4 linked regions of the Schizosaccharomyces pombe genome follow. The protein of the gene in region 4 interacts with the protein of the main gene of each other region in a pairwise test. Each region holds a gene or a part of one and is shown on either strand. Other genes may lie near its edges. The genes, in order: gyp1, SPOM_SPAC30D11.14C, ntu2 and ntu1.

Region 1 (4,840 bases), 3.5 Mb from region 4:
TAATTTGCGCTCCTAAGCCAGACGTAGAGGTAATAGGCAAAGTCTCCCTTATATAGTAAATATAGTTTGAAAAACAGTCACTGCAAATGCTGTTGTGGTAAGCAGTTGCAAAATCAGCATGAAAAAGCTATGAGTATTGAAATTTAAAAGATAAGAAATTGATCCTATAGTTATAAATAAATGATTTCTTCTTCATGAAAAGTAATACAATGATTCTATAACGCAATGGAACGTGCTTCTTTATTTCAGTTCAAAAACTGTATTAAGTTGTATAAATATTCAAAAATTGTCACAGCGTTTTCATTATCTACTCTAATTCATCCATACATTTTGGTCGAATCAAGGAAGAAGACACAGACCATGTAGTACAGTCTTGTCGATTTTCATCATCTCTTACCAATACAAAAGTCGTACTTTGAAATCGTAATGTACAATCTTGGATAAAACCAAAGAAAACATGACTAGCATAGAAGAGAAAAAAAAATGATATTAATAACGATTCATGTAAAGTATCACGCCATGGACTAAACAATCGTTGAATAGTAAAGTAGTAACGTAAGTCAAACTGGAAAAGGGTTAGAGAACGGTCGAACGTAAGAGTAAAGACAAATTACATATAAGTAATAGTGAATATACAATTTAATTCAAGGGTTAATAACTTCCCAAAAATGATTAAGGTAGTTCAGACTTTCTTCAAGAGAAATACTTTATCCTGCATGATAAATTCTAAAAGTCGCAAACTCAATCCAGCTGAGTTAAGGAGCAAACTTGAAAAGTTATTTAGGTGAATGAAAGGAAAATTTATTAGAAGAAGTAAGACTTAGACTCATAAGCTCATAAACATAGAAAAGCAACACAATGAATTAACGAAGGAGATTTGTCAACCTAATTATAAAAATGCATAGGAAGGATGGCATTTGAAAAAGGCTGCTATGCCAAAATAAGCAAGGGATTAAGGAAGAAGACGAATGCTCTGAAAAGGGAAAACGAAATGGCTACTATGCCTTACCTTTTCAAATGTGCACCAGCTCCACTGTACAATGATTTCCATAGGAAAGCTTCAGATAGTAAAATTTCGATATCCTTTGTGCTCCAATCTTTTGTCGGAATAGACTGCAGAAAAATTAATATATCCTGAAATTCCATCTTTTGTAATTCACTCGACCATTTCACTAAAAATGCAGCACATACGTAGAGGTGAAACTCAGAAAATCCTTGGACACCTTCCGCCATGTATGTATCCCACATCCGAATGATATTCGAAATACTAAGCTCGCGCATTAAAAGACAGTTCATCCAGCGAAAACTAAACTGAAGGAAATCAACACCCTCCATTTGAAGATGTTTTACTAATGGCTCATCTATACGTAAAGTAAGCTCTCGCAGATTATTCACCTGTCGACGGATTCCAGGCTGTGCATGTATATAGTTATCTTGGATACCATCTAACAATTTAGAAAGACACCAGTAAGCATCAGCCTCAATATCATTACGATTAGTTTCATCAAGAAGAGCAATGTCATATGTCATTGGGTCCTTATCGCCGATATATTCGGACAAAAACACCTGAATAAAAGGAGTAACTAAATCGCTGATGCCTTGTACATATCCGCTGGCTGGGTGCCGTGAGGCCCAAACATATAAAATACGCTCAAGCATACGCTGCGTCAATGGGTTTTGGTAAAGAAGAATAGAGGGGTTCGTCCTCGGAACGTCAAGGACAATTTGTCGCCAAATAGTTTGATCCAAAGGTGGTGGCTCTGTATTTGTATTAAAGCAGGAATCTTTTGCTGCGTTATATTCGTCTCTCTTTCGCTTTAAAGTGACTTCACGACGAGAAGCATTACAAGGTAAATATCCTAACAAGTATTTCCAGACAATAGGTCTATGTTCGGAGGGAATTCCATTCCAAGCCAATGTACGAAGCGCATTTAAATCCACAATTGGAGCATCAAGAATTCGCGAAAACTTCTTGATCCGAGAGACAAGCGCATTGCTTTCAGCAACCTCAACTTCTACAGAACGATGGGCTAGTTTAGCGGGTAAAGGAAAACGACCAGACGAATGAAGCTTTTGTCTAGAAGTGGTAGTATCCACGCCATTTTGAGGAAATAAGGAGCGGCTTGAAGAATTTGGAGTAGTACTTCGAGCCATACGAGGAAGAGATTTTGAGGCTTTAATATTCGAAACTCCCCAATCGTCATCTGTCTGTGACAAATATTTGGCAAACTTTGCAGACACTTTTTTGCCTACAACAGCTTCCAAGGAAAGAGAAGATCTCGCAGAAGGTGCATAGATTTTAGACTCACTAGCAGATTCGGGTCTAGTTATGGACCGGGCCAAAGAGATATGATCTTTTGGGGGTTGATCTGAGTAAACAGAGTCGTCCAATCTGAACGGTTGAGCTTTGGAAGAAGTGCTTCGACCACGATGGTGATGGGTCCGGCTTCGATCCAAAACAGTAACTGGATCCGAAGTGGCGCTAGAGGATCCATTCCATAAGCTGGAGAGAGTTTTTAAGGCGGACGACTTTTTTGACTGAGATTCCATAGTGGAAAATCTTAAAATACGAGAAGAAAAATTGTTTTTACAAAATGAAGCAGTAATTTGATAGCCTTGATGGACACAACAAATTTAGCAAATAACAGATACTCTTTGAATTTATCGCCAAAATAAAATACTTTTGGTTAAGATGCAAAAAACAGTTTCAAAATTTGCTGTAAAAAGTAGATGAAACGTTTTAGAAGGCAATAACTTCAAATGTTTAACGACGAAGGATCTTAGGCACCACTCATAGACTTACCGGACTTGAAGTCTTATTCTTTTCTTATCAAATGAAAACTATTTTCAAAAAAAAAAAACTTAAGCTATTAGAAGCAAAGCCGTGTCTGTGGGTTCCATCCAAACGAAAACGCACCAGCTCGAGATCTTGTGATCTATTAGAACAGCGCGGAATTTGAACACGAACAAATGTTTCGAGAAAACCTTAGATACAATCCAATACACTAGTATATTTACAAATTTTAACCGAATATCAACGAAATTGTGAAGATTTACTCGGTCTGTGCAGTTGCCAAGGCAGTTGCCCTTATTTGGTGGAAGAACAAAACAATAGGGAGGAAAACAGTAGGTGTATGGAGTTTCTTATATATGAGGTTTTTTTAATAAAAGGAGCAAGGTTTAATACTTTAATTATTTATCTCACTTTTTAGTTAAAGGAAATTCGTTTTAAGCCATGAACAGTTGATAGAAGGATTTTGGCCGTGCATGGTCTTATTGCTTGGGAATGTTGGGTTTATATGCGCAGAGTAGTAAAAGATACACAGCTAGGTCTCATTTAACAATGTTTATATCTATGAGTTCTATCTCTTCTTTACTTAAGTTGCTGCCAGTAAAAGTGAACAATGTAATTTTGACAATTGTGACTAGTCGCTTTTCAAAACAAAAAAGAGAAAAGTATAAACGTTGATTAAGAAACGTAAAAAAGTATTTCCTGTCAATAATGAATCTCTGATTTTATTGTTATTTTTCGTATTGACATCCTAGTTACCTAATATAATACGATGAATTATAAGCATTTTAATACCTACTAAGTTTAAATTTTCCTGAAATACAGTCTAAGATTTTCCTGTTCCTATATATTTCTAACAAAACACATTTTTCAAGTAGATGATCAACGAATCTAGTCTAACTTTCAATCCCAGTCTTTTTTTTAGCAGTTTCGGGTATTTGTTTTCAAACATGTATTTATATCTTTGATTCAGTAAAATTACTTCAACAAATGCATTGAAGAGGAATGATTTAAAAAACATATACGGTTTTCAATGTTTTAATGAACAGAGCAATTTTCCAAATGTTGTCTTGTCAAGAAATTGTAATGTATGTTCTCCAAAACTGACATGAGAACAAAATAAATATGTACTAAGATAAATTTTATATTGAGAACAATCAAAAATTATAGTAAGTTTAATAATCATCCAAAAAACACTTTCCTTCTCTCGTTTACATCTTGGAAAACACTCTAGAGTATCGTTATTCATTGTGATGAAATCGAAACTACAACTCCAATCCAATAATAAAGGTTACTGTATGACAATAAAATAAACCATACATCTTCCCTTTAAGTCGTATTACGACTTGTAAGAAGATTTCCTGGTTGCCAAAATATCATTCATAGTACACAATAATATTATGTGCAAAGGTATTGAAATGAATAAGTACGAATCAAGGTAAATGATTATTATTCCCAAATGAGCTCAAACAAAAAGCAAAAAGAATAAAAGGAAGCCTACAGCACCCCGGATTCCCATGTTGTCTCCAACCATAGTACTAACGAGGCCCTCAGACGCTTAACTGCAGTGATCGGACGGGAACTGGTGTTTTCGCCTAGGTATGGCCGTAGACGTTTAAAGTAGAATATTTAAACATTTTAAAGAAAAAATTAATAATCAGTCAGAGTACTGTCGATTCACTAGAAATTTTCTATTTATTGTTTATATATTCATACAGTAAGATCGTGAAGTATTCAAATCCTTGGTATATAGAATATTATCTTCATGCATTCAAAGATCGTTTAGGAGCTATTTGTACAAGCTACTTGGTGCATATTTGTCTGTTTATATTGCAAAGTCAAGAATTTTAACATAGAGAAAGAATAAAATGAAATGGAATAAAGAAATGTTAAATAATGTTATGAATCAGACTTGTTCTTGAATTGCTAGTCATAACAACTTCTATAAGACTCAACACGTTTACGCGCTTTTTATGAATGTAATACGTTAGACAAATTAAATAGACAAGTACAGTCTATGTGTCATTGACTCAACACTTAAGCATTTAT
Region 2 (4,355 bases), on a different chromosome or scaffold from region 4:
TTGAATAATGTAAATGCCGTTTTCTAATACCTTAATCATTATAGGCTGCAATTACTGTTGCAAAGACCGATTGCACTAATGTTAAGGCAACTTGTCACTTAAAGAAAATGGAAACGCTGCAAGTCGAAGTTTTCTTTCTATTTGATTTTACTAGCATTATGGCAGGTTTCAAAGTCCCTTCGTGGATAACGTATAAATCCTTTTGGATTGCTGTCTCCTCTTCTGTAACGACAGCATGCGTAATCCTTGGAACGTTGGAGTTTCGTAAACATCGCTCAATTCGTCGCTTACAGTCGATGATTGTTCCTGAAGCTGGTAAAAGTATTCAACTTTCTTCTTCTGGTGTACCTATAGAAATTTATGATGCTGGGGAAGAGGATGAAGGAATAAGCAAAGGCGTTCCGTACGATGAAAATCTGATACGTGAACAGCTGGCTCGAAATTATGCATTTTTTGGAGAAGACGGTATGGAGCGTCTGCGCAACTCTTTTGTTATCGTCGTAGGCTGTGGTGGTGTTGGAAGCTGGGTGATTAATATGCTTGCACGCTCTGGTGTGCAAAAAATTAGAATTGTCGATTTTGATCAAGTATCTCTTAGTAGCCTAAATCGTCATTCCATAGCCACGTTGCAAGATGTTGGTACTCCAAAGACTCTTGCTATAAAAAAGGCGATTAAAAAATTTGCCCCTTGGATTGAAGTAGATGCTCGTAACGCACTTTTCAATCCCGACTCCGCCGACGATCTTTTGTCTGGCAATCCTGATTTTGTAATCGACGCTATAGATAACATCCAAACTAAAGTTGATTTATTAAGTTATTGCTACAACCACAAACTTCCCGTAATTGCTTCTACCGGGTCTGCATGCAAATCTGATCCGACTCGTGTTAACATAGCAGATATATCAGCTACTTCTGAAGATCCTTTATCAAGAGCTACTCGTCGTAGGTTGCGTCTCCTTGGTATTATGGAAGGTATTCCTGTCGTATTTTCTACTGAAAAACCAGATCCTAGAAAAGCAAGTTTGTTACCTCTCTCTGAGGAAGAGTTTGAAAAAGGAGACGTTGATGAGTTGAGTGCTTTACCCGAATTCCGTGCTCGTATTCTTCCTGTAATAGGACCTATGCCTGGTATTTTTGGACTTACAATTGCTACTTATGTTTTGACTTCTATTGCTAAATACCCTATGGATCCCATTTCTACCATGACGCGTCCTCGCTTATACGAAGAGGCTGTTAAACGTTTACATGCTGAAGCTCGCAAAGCTGGAGTAAACCTAGATAAAACTTTTAATGCATCTGAGATGTCATATATCATTGAGGAGGTTTACGTTGGTAGAAGCGCTCTTCCCCCGCATGAGTCTCAAAAAGTCACTGTTGTTCGATGGAACCCACAATTACCTTTTGATCACACCAATCTTGTAGCTATGACACGGAACGAAGCTCGCTATCATGAAGATAATGTCTTAGCAAAGAATGTGGATCCTTCTACAGTATATGGCAAGGATGTAATTGAGGTTGTTCACAGTTTTCTAAGGCGATTACGAATGTGGGAAATGCTTTATTGAAAAACTTGTCACTATAATTGAGTTTATTCTTCTGATAGAATTTGTTTTCAGAGCAGTACAAATAGGTAATTTAAGCCTTTGCTGACTGCATGTATTATAAATAGATAAATAAACAAACAAATAAATAAATATATATATATATATGAAATTGCCATTTGCTCAAACATGTAAAACATCCACCATACATTTGTCTTAAAAAATTATTATATAACGTGCTTCGTTCAACCTCCTTCTTTGACTTTTTCGTATAAGCACTACTTCTACTATGTCCACACAGTTTGCGTATATAGCTAAAGTTAAGTTTCATGTCTGATTCAAGACAAAATTCCCAACGGGAAGATAATTATTCTCGGGATAGACGATCTAGGTTTACGGAGGATTCGTATAGTAGAAGAGATTCACAGCGGTCGGGCAATGAGGCACCCCGAGAATCAAGATATTATCGCAAAGAAGAACACCTTCAAGAGCGTTCTCGAAGTCGAAGTCCTGCTAGAGATTCAAGATGGAAATCTTCTTCATCAGGTTTTGCCCCAGCGCATCCGCCAATCGAAGAACCGACAAACAATGGAGCTGAGGCAGCAGCTGCTGCCGCCAGACGGATCGCCGAATCATTACAAAGTACAAAAGCAACGTCCAGCAGGACTTCATATGATCATTCAGAAGGGATAACCTCAACGACATCTGCGTCACCTCCAAGTGCACCTGCTCCTCCACTTCCTCCAAGTTCTGAGGGACCCGCAGTTGATATTCCTCCGTCTATGGCCGATATTACTAGCAAGGTTATAGAAGGGGACGGTGTCTTTATGCAGGATGTTGAAATTAACAATGTGCGTAATCGCTACATTTTGGTGCGTGCCTCAACCCTTTCTGAGATCGAGAATAAAAGTGGCGTGCAATTATTTTCCAAAGGACGATATTATCCAAATAAAGCTTTAGCTACTGACAAGGATCCTCCACTCTATCTCCACATAGTATCGCATAACAGGAAAGATCTAACGGTTGCCCTGCAGGAAATTGAATCTTGGATTAATAAAGACATGGGTCCTTTAATCGACGAGCGAAGATTTCGCCGCCGAGAAGATAATGAAAGGAATAACTCTAACTCGCCTCGTAATTTTTCAACGCATGGCAATGGTAATGGGGAAAACGGTCAACCGCGACGAAAGTGGCTAGAAGAAAAAGTATATATTAATTTAACTCCAAGTCGTGGATTTCATTTACGTCAAGCAATTGTTGGCCCACAGGGAGCATATGTAAAGCATATACAACAGGAAACTCGCACCCGTGTTCAGATTAAAGGGCAAGGTTCTGCTTTCATAGAGCCATCGACAAACCGCGAATCAGACGAACCTATACATTTGTGCATCATGAGTCACGATCCTAATGCCATCCAAAGAGCTAAGGTTTTATGCGAGGATTTAATAGCCAGTGTCCACCAACAGTATAAAGCTTGGAAGTCACAACCAAAAGATCGTGATCAAAATCAAGGAAATCGTGCCTACAATCCACCAAACCGGAATCAGGCATTCTCCGCACGAGACTCACGACAAGAAAAAACTCAACCAACTAATGCTTCCCCTGCACCATTAGTAACACCATCGTTACCCGTACCATCTATTCCAGCTGTTCCAGGAATGGAAGCTATGGCAATGCCTCCTGGTGTCACTTCATCTATTGCAGTACCGACGACTTCTTCTATGCCTTTACAGGGTATGCCTACTATGTTTGGTGCTCCTGGAGTTAGTGCTCCTGGTACAGAAGCACCAGGGACTGGTACGCCTGGTTTAACTACTCCAGGAGTAGATCCGTACGCAGCTTATGGAGGATACAATGCGTATGTACAATATTATCAACAGCAAATTTATGCTCAAATGCATGGTGTCAGCGGTGATCAATCGCACCCACAGTAGATAGCGTTTGAGCATTACTAAAAAGAATGTTTATTGTTGATCATTAAAATACTATTTTTGGTTGCTTAATGTTCTGAAACCTTGATTGTGCTTATTAAAGTACATTCTACTGTCTTAGTTGTAAAAAAAAAACACTATATTTAAATAGTGACCATTTTTTGAGGGCATACAATTATTAAATTATAGTTTACTTTCTAATTGATTTAAAGGAATTTGTCGAGGTAAATTCTATCACTTAAGACGTGGTTGATTTAATGAACTTTTTAAAAAAAACATATTTAAATAATTAGTGGTATTATCTTGTATCAATCTTTTATCCTAACAAACAAAAAGCAACCGACTTGTGAAACCGCTAATAAGATTGAGATTTTATCTCAACTAGTCAAGCAAAGAAATATACACATCAGGAAAAATAATATTAAACAATAAAAAATAAGAAAAAGTACCAGTCAGTTTATGGAGCATTTTCACGAGCCTGAGCACGAACTCGTTTTTCGTACTCGACTTTATCCTTTCTAAACGAGGTTAATTATATTTGATGGTTGTGGAAACAGTAGTTATGATACTTACTTGAACATTGTATATGCTTCTGTTTGAGCGGGAGAGGCAATATTAGGATCATCTAAAAGATCCTGAATACCCAGCAAAATCTAGAAATGGTTAAAACCTGGAGATTAAGAAATTGATTTGAATTCTTACCTGCTTAATTGTAATTGCCGGTTTCCAGCCTTCTTCTTCATTAAGTATTGAGAGACAAACGGTGCCAGAAGGATAAACGTTTGGATGAAATAACGGTGGAGTAAACCTACCTGTACAAAAGCATTAGCAAAAAATCGTAGTTATATGCTTACATTTGGGGGGACGAGTTGGATATTCTGTG
Region 3 (5,912 bases), 3.4 Mb from region 4:
TGTCATCATTTGGGAAGCTTTAAAAATTCATAGGACGATAAGCAAAAACGGACTGCATGCAGCGAAACTGAAGTTACAAATTTTTTACATAAATTATGTATGTAATGACTATGCTGACGAACACTTGTTCATTAATGTACTGACAAGATATATACACTGACTTTACACATTTAATCAAAAAAATTAAAAAAAGGAATCATTCGATTGACGATCAATGCTGATCAAAGGGCACGTAAAATAATGTGATATCAGAAAAAAGGAGTTAAAATGTTGTCAATTAATTCAACTAAGCCTTTTCAAACGCGGTACTGAAGAATCGATACTCAAAGTTGCAAATTTTCTTGGCAATGTCAACAGTAGCAGAGGTAAAAGGGACGTCTTGAATGCTGCGAGCCAGATTTTCTACAAACTTACCAAAAGAAGGCTGACCCCACCACTTGACAAATTCCATTTCTTCTGGGCAGTTTTTCTGGAATTGCTTAGATTCACGAACAAATTTCCATGCTCTATGGTATATTACTTCATTCAAGTAAAATGCCATAAAGTAGTCAATTCCAGAGGTACCTGGAATTTCGAAAAGCTCCTGAGTCATAAATTGAATATATGATTTACAATCTGGAGCAGAAAGATGATAGTATTCTTCAGGCTTGTTATCTTGCAACGCTTGTTCCCATGAAGTTGGGACGGGTTTGAGTTTGGGCATTTCCACGTTGCTCTCTTTGCATCTTGCCTCAAAATGAGCAAGCTCAGGAGTGATAACATTGTATGCACCCAAAAAAAGATCTAATGCTTCCTTGGGAAATCCCTTCTCATGAGTGATGGCGTTTATGGCTTTGGCAAGACACAACGAACAACCTTGAACATAAATTCGATCCTCGTATAGCCACCGTTTAAATGCGCCAGGAGGAGCAGTACCGTTAGCCAAACCTTCGATAAATGGGGACTTTGTCGCAGCAGTTTCGACTTGTTCCTCGATTCCGAGTTTCTTGATTATTGCAACTGTATAAGGATCCATTGGTAAGCAGATGAACTAAAACGAACAATGGATATGATTAAAAAAAAGAAAAAATCACTGTCTTAAAGTAGCTCCTTGGTTTGAAATTTTGATATAGTAGATCTGTAATAAGCAAATGAAATTATGGATGTGTGAAAATAGTAAAAAGTTTCAACACTAGCTTATTTTTTTTTACTTTGTTAAAAAAACATTTCCCAAATAACCAAATTTATATATATGTAGAAATTCGGCTAAAAGTTTCCAGGCCAGCTGGCCTCGCATTCAAATTTCCGGCTTCAAGTAAAGTACTTTAAACGCAAAATATCATGAGAAAAGTAGTTTGCTTAATTCAACCATGTACTGCAAATGACCTTAGAAAAAAGTACGCAAGCAACGTTAAAGGTAATTATCCAGAATACATTTAAGCGTTTAAGAGTTAGTAGATGACTATTAAATCAATGATCTGATAACTGCACGTCCTGAAATTCGATACAGTTAATCTCGATATTAAGCATACCAAAACTAATTATCTACATTCTTTTAAATTACTTTATGCTTTTCAATATCACTTCTTCCCTTGGTTTTTCGGCACTAGCCCAAAGAAAAGAAATTTTGATATGATGAGCTTATTTAGAACCAACAAATTGCACATCAGAATATAATATTACTATATTCTCTTATAAATAAGCCTATATACGATAATTGGCTCTTGGTACCGAAAAGTAATCCGTGCTTTTCTTGAGCTTTACCAACACATCTTTACTTTCTTTTCTTCTACATTTTATAATCTATCTCTCTTACAAAAACTACGGATGGCTTAGATGTCGGGTGTGCACCGACTTTCGGCTATACTGAGCTTTGGGTTTCGCCCATGCTGTGCTTATTCCAGTGCCGGGGGGATAGTTCCTTCAAGGTGACAAACCTTGTGTTACCCGCTTTCGTTAAAATACCACCTTAAAATCAGCGAGGTTTCACTATTTGCCATTCAAAAATAATCTTACCGACAACGTACCTCTCCAGGCCCAATCCTCGCGAGCCGAAGGAAAGCGAATCTTGCATACGTTTAAGCCGTATCTGAATGCGTTCTGAAGAAATAATCGATAATAACGGAACTAGAGTTGCTCACCTGGCATACCGGTTAGATTGCAGAAATTTGTTCTAGCACCCGTTTGAATGCGTTGAGTTAGTACGATAGACCGGATTGTTGACGGAGTTTATTGTGTATTCATTATTTTTGAATTTTGGTTTTCACTTCTTTTTTCATTTACTTTGTAATTTTGCTAAAACGAATTGAATTTCATCGATACTGTTATTATTTCCTTGTCCGCTTGCATTATTAGAGATCACTTTGACTTGATTATAAATTCGTAATTGTTTCAAGGATATACACCGCTGGTATACCTGCTGTAAAACTTTTATTTAATTTCCATATTTTTGTTAATTTGGTTATCCCTTGTAGATCAACCAACCTCTCTTCATTCACACATTAATTTTCAATTTCTTCACTCTTCCTTCTTTTTGGATAGTGTCCCATCCCCTTTATTCTTAATTGCATAACTCTGTTGATCTGCCCCCATTGAACTTCACCTTTTTCAATAATACTTTGCCATCGTTCTCTATACCGTACAAAGTCTCTGTCTGTGGCTCATATTTCTCCAACTACATCTCCCGTGTTGACGTTTCTTTTTACTACTTGAAAAAGTTTTTTTTTATATTTCGCTCTTTATTTACATTTTTTGTTTATTAAAAGGATGTCCCAAAATGGATAATGAATCTCATAGTCAGGAAACCGAAAGCAAGATTCTTGAAGGCGCCAAAGTGGCTACCCGACGACGACGTGTCACTCGGGCTTGTGATATGTGTCGTCGTAAAAAAATCAAGTGTGATGGTTTGCGTCCTTGTAAGAATTGCAAAGCTGGCAAATTAGAGTGTACTTATCACATGCCTTCCTCTCGAAAGTCCTCATTTTCGCCCGAGTATGTGGAAAATTTGGAATCCCGCGTTCGGTATTTGGAAACGCTGTTGAAGAAAAATACAAACTTTGATCTCTCCTCTAACTCACCCAGTTTCCTCTTCTTTTTGAGGGAACAAAAATTTCAAGCCACTAACGAGCTTGAAAACATGTCACCAGAACGAAAGGTAATCTTTACTTCCATGATTAATTATGGCAATTTGTTCGTTGACGCGAAGCATGGAACTAGATATTTTCGTGGTGGTTCTTCAATTCACGTCCTCATCCAACATCTTATTCGACGCTTACCCGGCGATTTCGAAATATGTGAGCCTTACTCAGCCTACCCTTTGGGCAATAAAAATATTCAATTCGATGATAATGATCCTGAATACCAATTCTTTACTCCTACTCCTAGATTCAGCATCGACTTTATGGTGTCTAGCGTTGATCCTCGTGAGATTCAGCTCCCAGGAATTGAAGAGGCCTTGTGTATCACTAAAGCCGCTGTTAGCTACGTTAGCGGTATCGTTTTTTATACGACCTATGCCGATTTCCCCAAAAAGATTCGTCTTTTATATTCCGGTAATTATCAAGGCAACTTTTTTCCACTATTTTTATCTATTTTGTGTGTAGGTTACTATCATCATCTTCTTAATAACCCCAGTAACACCGAGTTACAAAGTTTAATCAAAAAGTACAGTTTTTACAGCGAACGATTAGTGAAATCCGCGGATAACTTTACTATTGAAAGCATCCAATGTCTCTTAATTCTTAGTATTTATCGGTATTGCCGAACCGAAATTAGCGCTGCCTGGTATTACATGAAACTAGGTTTGAATTGCTGTCTTAGGTTAGGTCTACATAGAAATATTACAGAAGGATTTACGGAGGAACAAATTGATAGCAGAAGACGTATTTTCTGGGCAATTTACTGTTATGACCGGCAGTTGTGTACTTTGTTTGGATTTCCGTTGGGTGTTCGTGATGAAGACATTGATCAGTGTTTACCTGTAACACCAAAGTTCCCATCGGTAACGGAAATTGAAGCAAACGCACGATTGTTTTTCTTTCATGGTGTGAAGCTTTACAAGATTTCAAGTCGTATATTGACCAAGCTATATTCCCCAAATTCACGAAACGTAACAAAGAAGCACATTTCATATGCTGTAATCCAAGATTTGGAGCAACTATTGGATGGTTTTTACAATTCTCTTCCCCGAGTTTTTAGGGCCGAGCAACCTGGAGAATTTCAGGCAAATCATTTTTTCTACAACTTACAGTTGGTGTATTATTCTTTTAGAATGTTAATCTACCGACCTCTCCTACATTACCTTGAAGCTGACAGTCCAGCAATGCAAGCACTTAAGGTGCCAGATCGACAAACCGCCTTCACTTTGGCGTGTAAATGCGTCGACTCTGCTATTGTATGTGTTCAAAATTTAAGTCACCTTTCCAAGGGTCTTAAACGTACGTTAGACAGATATTACTGGACTACCGTTTATTGTGGATTTAGCACAATTGTTACACTTATTTTTGCAGCTCTTTTAACTAAAAATACCAACTTACTGATTCATATTTCTGTCGCCCGAGAATCAATAGAAGCATTGGCTCACGAATGCGTCACCAGAAGACTTTTACCATTGATTGACAAAATGAGAGAGTCACTCATGAAGATTCTCGAATCCAATGCGGATGGATATAAACAGATGTCACCAACAAAAGCTCCTCAAGTATTTGAATCGGAATCGAATGTTCCTATTAATAATGGGCCTCAACAATCGATAGATAAAGAGAGCAATTCTAACACTCAATTACCACAAGTTGAGACGGAGGGACAACAACAATCCGTTTTTGATGGAAACATAGGAACAATACCTTATCAAGCATACAACATGAATGAAGATTCTTTTATCGATATCAACACATTATCAAGCATGCTAAATTACCATACACAGGCTGTTTCAATCCATCACCCCTCGTTTTACATTTCACGCAGTGATGTACCATTGGAAGAAGAATTTCAGATCCCTAACGAACTGCTGGCAGTGGATCCTGTAGCAGAAAGTATGCAGGAAAATTCGGATATAATCAATGAAGCTTTTGGTTTAGTGGATCCTGATGTGTCTGACGGAAAATCCAGAGAGTCGAGTTCACTTAACAATAGCACACCCTTTAATCCGACTGTAAATATTGATCCTGCATCAATCTTGGAGCATTTTTCTCAAAACGTTATGAAAGACTCGCAAAATAGTTAAAATCTACACCATAATTATTCGTAATCAGGATTTACTTACGGCTTACATGGATAATATGAATAAATGTATATATACAATATTCCAAAAACAAAGCACGAAAATGTGACTTTGTAAACGACTGCTATTTAGATCTTTTGTTGAGTAACTATAATTTTTTTTTAATGAGTAGGGTAAAAATACTAGACTTAATGGGTAATGTCGAACAGTCTGGCAAGGTAGAAAATAGTTCCAACATATTTTTATTTACGTATCAATATCATCAATAAGCGCGTCCTCTACATAATCTATATTCCTCCTATTGCCTCTCATCCTCGTTATACTTGAGGGTAAAATCGAAAGAATGGAAGAATAAAGGATGATCACTATGTCCTAAATTATAACTGTTAGTAAATAAGGAAAAATAGAAAATTAGCTTTATTTATGAAATGGATAAACCAGATCATGCAAACATACCGAAATGAAACCAAATAGAGAGCGCCACATCTCATAATTGGGAATTTGGCGGAGTCCGCGTGCATTAAGTACTACCCTTTGATATACAAATCCTCCAACGAAGTAAGCTAAAAAGGCAATAGCACAGAACAGAAGGAATACAGATACAGGATTTAAGGTGGAGTCCTTCTTCACTGTTGGGCAAGCATGAATCGTTTTCCATTCAAAGAAGAAAGCGCAATCGTTCAGATTGCCAACGTAGGTTATGACAGACGGT
Region 4 (6,233 bases):
GGACTGCTTGCTCGTTTACTCCATATGTACATGATTCTTCACTCTCTTTACATCGAGAACAAGGATATTGGCGGTCACATTTGACTTTTCGGCGCCTGCATCTCAGACAAGATCTAGCTCGAATATTTTTGTGGGCCCTATTTTTAGATTTCCCAACCATAATTTACCTAATTACGGTATTTCTTCTGTAGTAGAAAGTTGGATATTTCTATAAAATACAATTCACCATAAAAAATTATACGCACAAACTAAAGGTTTCATTCAGTATTAACCTGATAACCATCGAACTTTTAAGCTGGGATTATGCTTCAATTGAATCGATGAGACTACTAATATTTTACTGCAAACATTTTTATGAATGCAAAGGCGGTGTCAACGTTGTGTGGTGGTAAATATTGAGTGTGCAGGCTTAATTATTTAAATTCTTCAACGTCTAAAATACAGTGTAAGCATCAGATCTCGATACCATTTTTTTCGCAGAGCTTTTATTTAGAAGATTTTTATAGGGATCATTTTTTTAGCCTAGATGCCAAAGGTACTCAACAATACGTTCCACAGTTGGGTTTGCAGTTGCTTACAAAATAAACAGCTAATTGTCATTTTAGTAATTATACATTCCATCGTGAAAGAAAATGCACACTATTAAAGTTTTTAGTTCATCAATTGCTTTGCAGTAATCCATTATAATGTAGAACTTCAACGTAACTTTACTCCAAAATTTTTAGCTTTTAACACTACTTGGTTATTCATTGCTGATAATAATGCGCGTAAATATCACTAGCTAATGGACATGAAGCAGTAGGCTAACTCTCTAAGCTTGATCAAAAGATCAAAAAGCAAATCTATCACAAACATCTAGGAAGACAGATAATCTAGATATTCAATCGTTCTATTATTCAATAAACATAAAAAGCTAATCATCAACCAAACAAAATATCACTTAATTAAAAGGAACAAAAAATAAGTTTTTTAAAAATGTCAATGTTTTTTCTCATGAGCAAACCCTAAAAGTTGGAGCTAGAACCCTTATTAAAGATAAAAAGTGAAGCAAGAATTATTGCAGAAAAAAAAATTTTGAAAACAAAAGTGAGTTTCTATGCTTAACAACATTGATCGCTCACTCGGTTCTTTTAGAGTTTGAGGAACTTGGATGGTCAGGAGAATTATTAGAACCATCTCGGACAGTAGGATAAGCAACTTGGTTAGTCATGGAAGGTGGTTGAATGAAGGGATACGGCATGCCAGATTTTGCAGCTCCAGGTGCCATCATAACCCCTGAAGTAGGCAGTGGTAGCATTTGTTCTGACAAGGGAAAAGGCGGGTGCTGGTAAGGATACTGTGAATATGCTTGGAAAGCCTGAGGCATATTCGAAGTTGGACTCATGTATGGAGGGTATGAAGTATTATACGGGAAAGGTACTGGAGAATAGGTGTTCGGAACATAAAAACCATTCGCTGTTGGCATTGAAGAACCATAATTAATCATAACCCTATCATGAGGGTATACATTACCATCAGAATAGGAAGGATATCCGTTTTGTCTAGGATAAGATTGATCCTGTGTACGCCCACCATACGTAGGCATAGGGAAATTTGTTGGTGCATTTTGAAACTGGGCAGGATTATAGTAACCTGGGTAAGGAGCATCTGAATAAAATATTTGTGCTTGCGGAAACTCTCTAGGTATATTACTAGTTCTCTGCGAAAAGTTGTTTGGTAGTTGTCCTGTAACATCCGGGGTCGCATCCAAATTTTCAGTACCAGATGAGTTCATATCATACGCAATTAGCAAGTTCTTGATTGCCTCCATTATTGTACTATAGTAAGTGGATTCGCGGTATATCATTTGTAGACAATGAAATCCTAATCTTGCCTTAGTTATGAAATTATTAGATTTATTGGCATCGTCCTTCGTCAAAGTAGCACAATATGTCAAGGTCATTAACGCGTAGTATCCAGAATACAAATTGAAAAACAGTTTGGGAGTATTTGGAGATTTGGCCAATTCCTGTAACAAAAAAACAACACGCTCCGCAGATTGTGCACACTTTAAAGCAAAATTTGCAGGTTTCATTGGCGACCCATTCTGATTATCAATTGGTGTACTAATACTGTGAATAAAAGGGCGATAGAAAATGAGTTCTATTTGCCTGAATTTCAATTCCAGTATTATTGCTTGGATCCATTTGGGTGAAAATTTTGGAACTTCGCTCATTTTTAAATAAGAAGGTAAGTTTTTCCACCAATATGTAAGTTTTTCTTCATGATCACGAACAGCTGGTAATGAAACTTTACAGTGTGAGTCAGAGGGCGATTTGACTGGATACACTTTCCTTACAAAATGACTTAAAATACGAGAAAGCGTTATGTGTTGTATAAAAACTTCCAAGCTAGTGCATTCTGATGCTATTAATCGTGGAGGAACCTGGTCATTTTCTAATGTGAAATCAAAAGAATTGGGTAACGATTGATCAATATCAACGTCCTCAATACTGAGAGGAAGACCAACAATTGTACTGGTGTAACAAGCCAAAACGTACACAGAATAAAATACCCGTTTGGATAACCGAGATTCATGAGATGTGAGAACGTCTGAAAAATCCTTGTGCAATCCCAATTCGTGGCAACACAATAACGCATTATTCGTGAACGTATAAGCTTGAGAAAGTCGGGAACTGAACAAAGCAAAAAGCGCAACAGACAATAAAATTTGCACAACTTCAATCGTATAACTATCTTCCCATGAAAATGAAGACCGAATGTAATAGTAATACTCGTAAGCTTCATGATAAGGATAGTTAGCACTAGGAGATTCATCGGGCATATAGGTGTAACCCAAGCACAATGTAGCGACAAGTAAAAAATGAAAATTGTTATCAGTCTTGCCAGTTTTGTAATACATATGCATCTTCTCAAAGAAAGATGCAGGATGATGAATATGTACCAAAAAATGGTCATTCATAAAAAATTGGCTAACAATAGAAAGAGCCTCCTCATATGGAGGTAGCTGAATTTTGAGAGGCGGTTTTTTATGTTCATCTTCGGCAGGGGTGGGTGGAAGATACGGAAAAGATAAAGGATCTGGCTGAGAAGAAGATGAATTAGATTCTTGGACAGGATTGGGAACCGTAGAATTCCTCGCAATGTTTTGATGTATATTTTTCATAAAGACAAAGCCAGAGGAACTTCCACGAAAGTCGGCTTTCCCATCATCTTTTAAACTCAATTGTCCATACCGGTCGAATAAGCTTTCAAACTCGTCCTGTGACGAGCTTCTTTTAGAGGAATCAGAGCGTTTCCAAGGAGATTGGTTCACAGGAGAATCTTTGTCATTTGGAGGAGCCAGAAATGATGGCAACTTTAAATTTGGATCGCTTTCTTCAGCCAGTCCCCTCAGATATTTCAATCGAAGCTCCAAAAATTCTATATACTTCTCAGGAGCATGCCGTAATCGCTTAAAAGGTTGACCATAAGTACATTCTTCAACAAAGTTAGAAAACTCCATCCAATTATAATAGAGGCTTGAAATAAATTTTAAAGCGACTAAACTTGAAGAAAATAATCTCATCTAAATTGTAGGCACTTACCATAGTTATATGCTATGCAATTCGAGCAAGGCTGAAAAAGTTAGTAAAGAACAGAAATTTATATTTATTTCTAATCGCTCATCCAAATTAATGCAAATAAGATAGAAAAAGAGCAATAAAAGCCAAAAAAATAATAAATTAACGACAAAGGTTATCCGCATGCTCTCTAGCTGAACTGAAATCAATCAAGCTACAATCAACTTCAGAGAAAGCGGTAACTGGGTGAAGTGAGTTCTCAGTTCCCAACTCAAATAATAAAATTATGCAAAACATAAATAGAGCAAAGAAATTGACATCTTACCCTTCTCTGATCACATTTGATCTTTCTCCTGTGACATTCATCACATGCTCTAGAAACACGCTGTCTACGAGATACATCGCCGGAAGACATTCAGCAGCCTATCAATAAACTATGTTGAAGCCTGCTAACTTCAAACTTGAGGGAGAACAGGTCTTTTAATTTGTATTTATCGAATCGTTGTTACCGGTTTTTACAACCGAAAGTTAACGCAAGTGAGCAAAAATGCAGTTTATCATTCAAAATTTAACGCTTTGAAACTAAAGGAATTTGGTGCTTTAGATAGGTAAATAAATAAATAAATGGTGATCGCTGCGAAGCGATTATGGATGATATACGCGACAGGTTAAACCTACGAGAGTGTGTGCCAGCGATCGTATACATCCGCTAAATAGTAATTACTCGTTACTTCACGTTAGCATACATGTGTAGGTGAAGCAATGAGATTATACCATGCTAAATGTTTTTGTTGCGGTATGTTAAATATCGTTATAAGCCTGACATCTTCACGTGTGAGTTCTCCAATGAGTCCTGAAGCTGGAACCATCAAGCCGTTTATTGACTATTTTCAATATTACTGAAGAAAAAAGTATGGGAAATAAAGATCATTCAAGATCAAGTTTGTCTGTTCATGTAAGCCACATATTATTTATTATAATATCAAAGTCTCTCCGTGCCTGAGTTATGTTCGGTAACTGTATATTGCATAATACTTTCTGTTGTGTACCACACATTATAGTGCGCTACGAACTCACCAAATAATATTACGTATCCTACAGAGACTTCGCGAATCGCGTAGTTAGTAAAAATATGGAAAATAACGTGAGTAAACAGTTGAGCGTTAATATTGCAGCCACACAAAATCGGTTGATTGAAAGCGAAATAATGATTCGGAATTTCCATAAAACACAATTAATACTCTTAGTGTATTCATGTAATAGCTTGTACAGTTCTCAAAATAAATCTTCAGTAGACACGTTTTAAATAATAGGGTAATTACTAGGATATGCACGCGACCGTTAGACGCCATTACATGTGCAAAAAACACTGAGTGCTGAAAAGCTAAAATTATTACAAGTCTTGCAGAGTTATGATTGTTTGAGTTTTTTTTTTTTATAAGTTAATCCTACGCCAATATATTAAGAGGATTTTTTTAACTGCTTAGTATTTAAAAAAGTATATCGAAGATCCGGTATCTTGATTGTTTACAAAAATATAAATAGCAACGATAACAAAGACGCATTGTTGACAAAAATAAAAAATGTACAAATATTTAGAAAAATGTATATTTTAATTTCTATGTATCTAAAATGATGGTCAATATTAGTTATACCGTGAAGCGCTGGCAACGGAAGGTAAACGAATGTTGACAACAACAAACGAGTGTAAATAAACACACACCAACAGCACAATTGCTGTAGAAAGGAAAAATGACTGTTCGCAGACTCGAAAGCAAGTCTGAGCATATATCAGATGACGAGGAGAGAAAAGAACAGTTAGATTACAAAAAGCAAATGGATGTAGACACAGATCGTAACATTGTATTGAATGGTCGCCTGGAATCCCAAATTGCGAAGTTGTCCGTTCCACCTCACGAAATGAGAGTGGTCGATGATTATTCGAACAGTAAAAATGCGGAAAGACACTCTGGAGAAATACAAGCTTATGCGAAATTCGCTGGAAGTACATGGACTTATTATGTTAAGAAAATTCGAATTATACTTGGTCGCGAACCAGCAAATCCTTCACCAAAGGGGAAAAATGAAGATTTAGAAGTAATTGATATGAATTTTGGTCCTTCTAAAGTTGTGAGTCGAAAACACGCTGTTGTGGAATATGATTTGGATGACCAAACATGGAATTGCTCAGTTTACGGTCGAAATGGCATTAAAGTAGATGGCAAGTTATTCAAGAATGGGGAAACAGTCAAGCTTACAAGTGGGTATGTTAAAAATCATTTACTAGAATAGTGTTGGTTCGTCGTGATTTGCGACAGGACGGAATATTGATGGTTTCAGCAGCGCATAATTTATGCTTTACTCTTTCATAAGTTCTATGGTTTTCTCGTGTTATTTGTCAATTTTAAACGAATGTTTGGTTATTTTATAAATGCGCGTTAAGGATTTGTCAAATTATCAAGAAAATAATTATTTCCGTCCTAGTTCAAATAAATGCAGGAAATTATGCCAATTATTTTTTTTTATTTCTTTTTCGTCTTACTAATTATCTACTAGATCTATACTCGAAGTAGCGGGTTTACAAATGATGTTCGTACTACCCAATGCAGCTGAGCAAAAGCAAACTGACGAAAGCACTATAAAGGAGGATGCTATAAAGTCTGAAATTTC

The links.
Region 1: the proteins of ntu1 (region 4) and gyp1 interact in a two-hybrid assay, tested with the Schizosaccharomyces pombe proteins (one large-scale study listed by BioGRID).
Region 2: the proteins of ntu1 (region 4) and SPOM_SPAC30D11.14C interact in a two-hybrid assay, tested with the Schizosaccharomyces pombe proteins (one large-scale study listed by BioGRID).
Region 3: the proteins of ntu1 (region 4) and ntu2 interact in a two-hybrid assay, tested with the Schizosaccharomyces pombe proteins (one large-scale study listed by BioGRID).

Annotation. Positions count from the first base shown.
Region 1 is NC_003423.3:782,823-787,662, reverse strand, and holds gyp1 (GTPase-activating protein Gyp1), read right to left. Parts: upstream 3,098-4,840; 5' UTR 2,551-3,097; coding exon 1,006-2,550; 3' UTR 518-1,005; downstream 1-517. UniProt on the Schizosaccharomyces pombe protein: Stimulates specifically the GTPase activity of ypt1. Functions on the Golgi as a negative regulator of ypt1.
Region 2 is NC_003424.3:1,090,571-1,094,925, forward strand, and holds SPOM_SPAC30D11.14C (RNA-binding protein), read left to right. Parts: upstream 1-1,817; 5' UTR 1,818-1,870; coding exon 1,871-3,475; 3' UTR 3,476-3,809; downstream 3,810-4,355. Other genes in the region: tcd1 (Moeb/ThiF domain-containing protein), read left to right, coding at 159-1,565; small ubiquitin-like modifier-conjugating enzyme Hus5, read right to left, coding at 3,930-3,990, 4,046-4,125, 4,175-4,284, 4,327-4,350.
Region 3 is NC_003423.3:804,079-809,990, forward strand, and holds ntu2 (membrane-tethered transcription factor), read left to right. Parts: upstream 1-1,996; 5' UTR 1,997-2,755; coding exon 2,756-5,203; 3' UTR 5,204-5,366; downstream 5,367-5,912. Other genes in the region: SPOM_SPBC530.07C (TENA/THI family protein, domain found in context with a broad range of enzymes), read right to left, coding at 287-1,015; mrl1 (cation-dependent mannose-6-phosphate cargo receptor), read right to left, coding at 5,447-5,572, 5,657-5,912.
Region 4 is NC_003423.3:4,241,745-4,247,977, reverse strand, and holds ntu1 (regulatory protein ntu1), read right to left. Parts: upstream 4,234-6,233; 5' UTR 3,979-4,233; coding exon 3,889-3,978; exon of another isoform or gene 3,821-3,888; intron 3,619-3,820; coding exon 3,588-3,618; intron 3,481-3,587; coding exon 1,118-3,480; 3' UTR 552-1,117; downstream 1-551. Other genes in the region: SPOM_SPBC16G5.17 (transcription factor), read right to left, coding at 1-160; DNA-binding forkhead transcription factor Fkh2, read left to right, coding at 5,316-5,827, 6,120-6,233.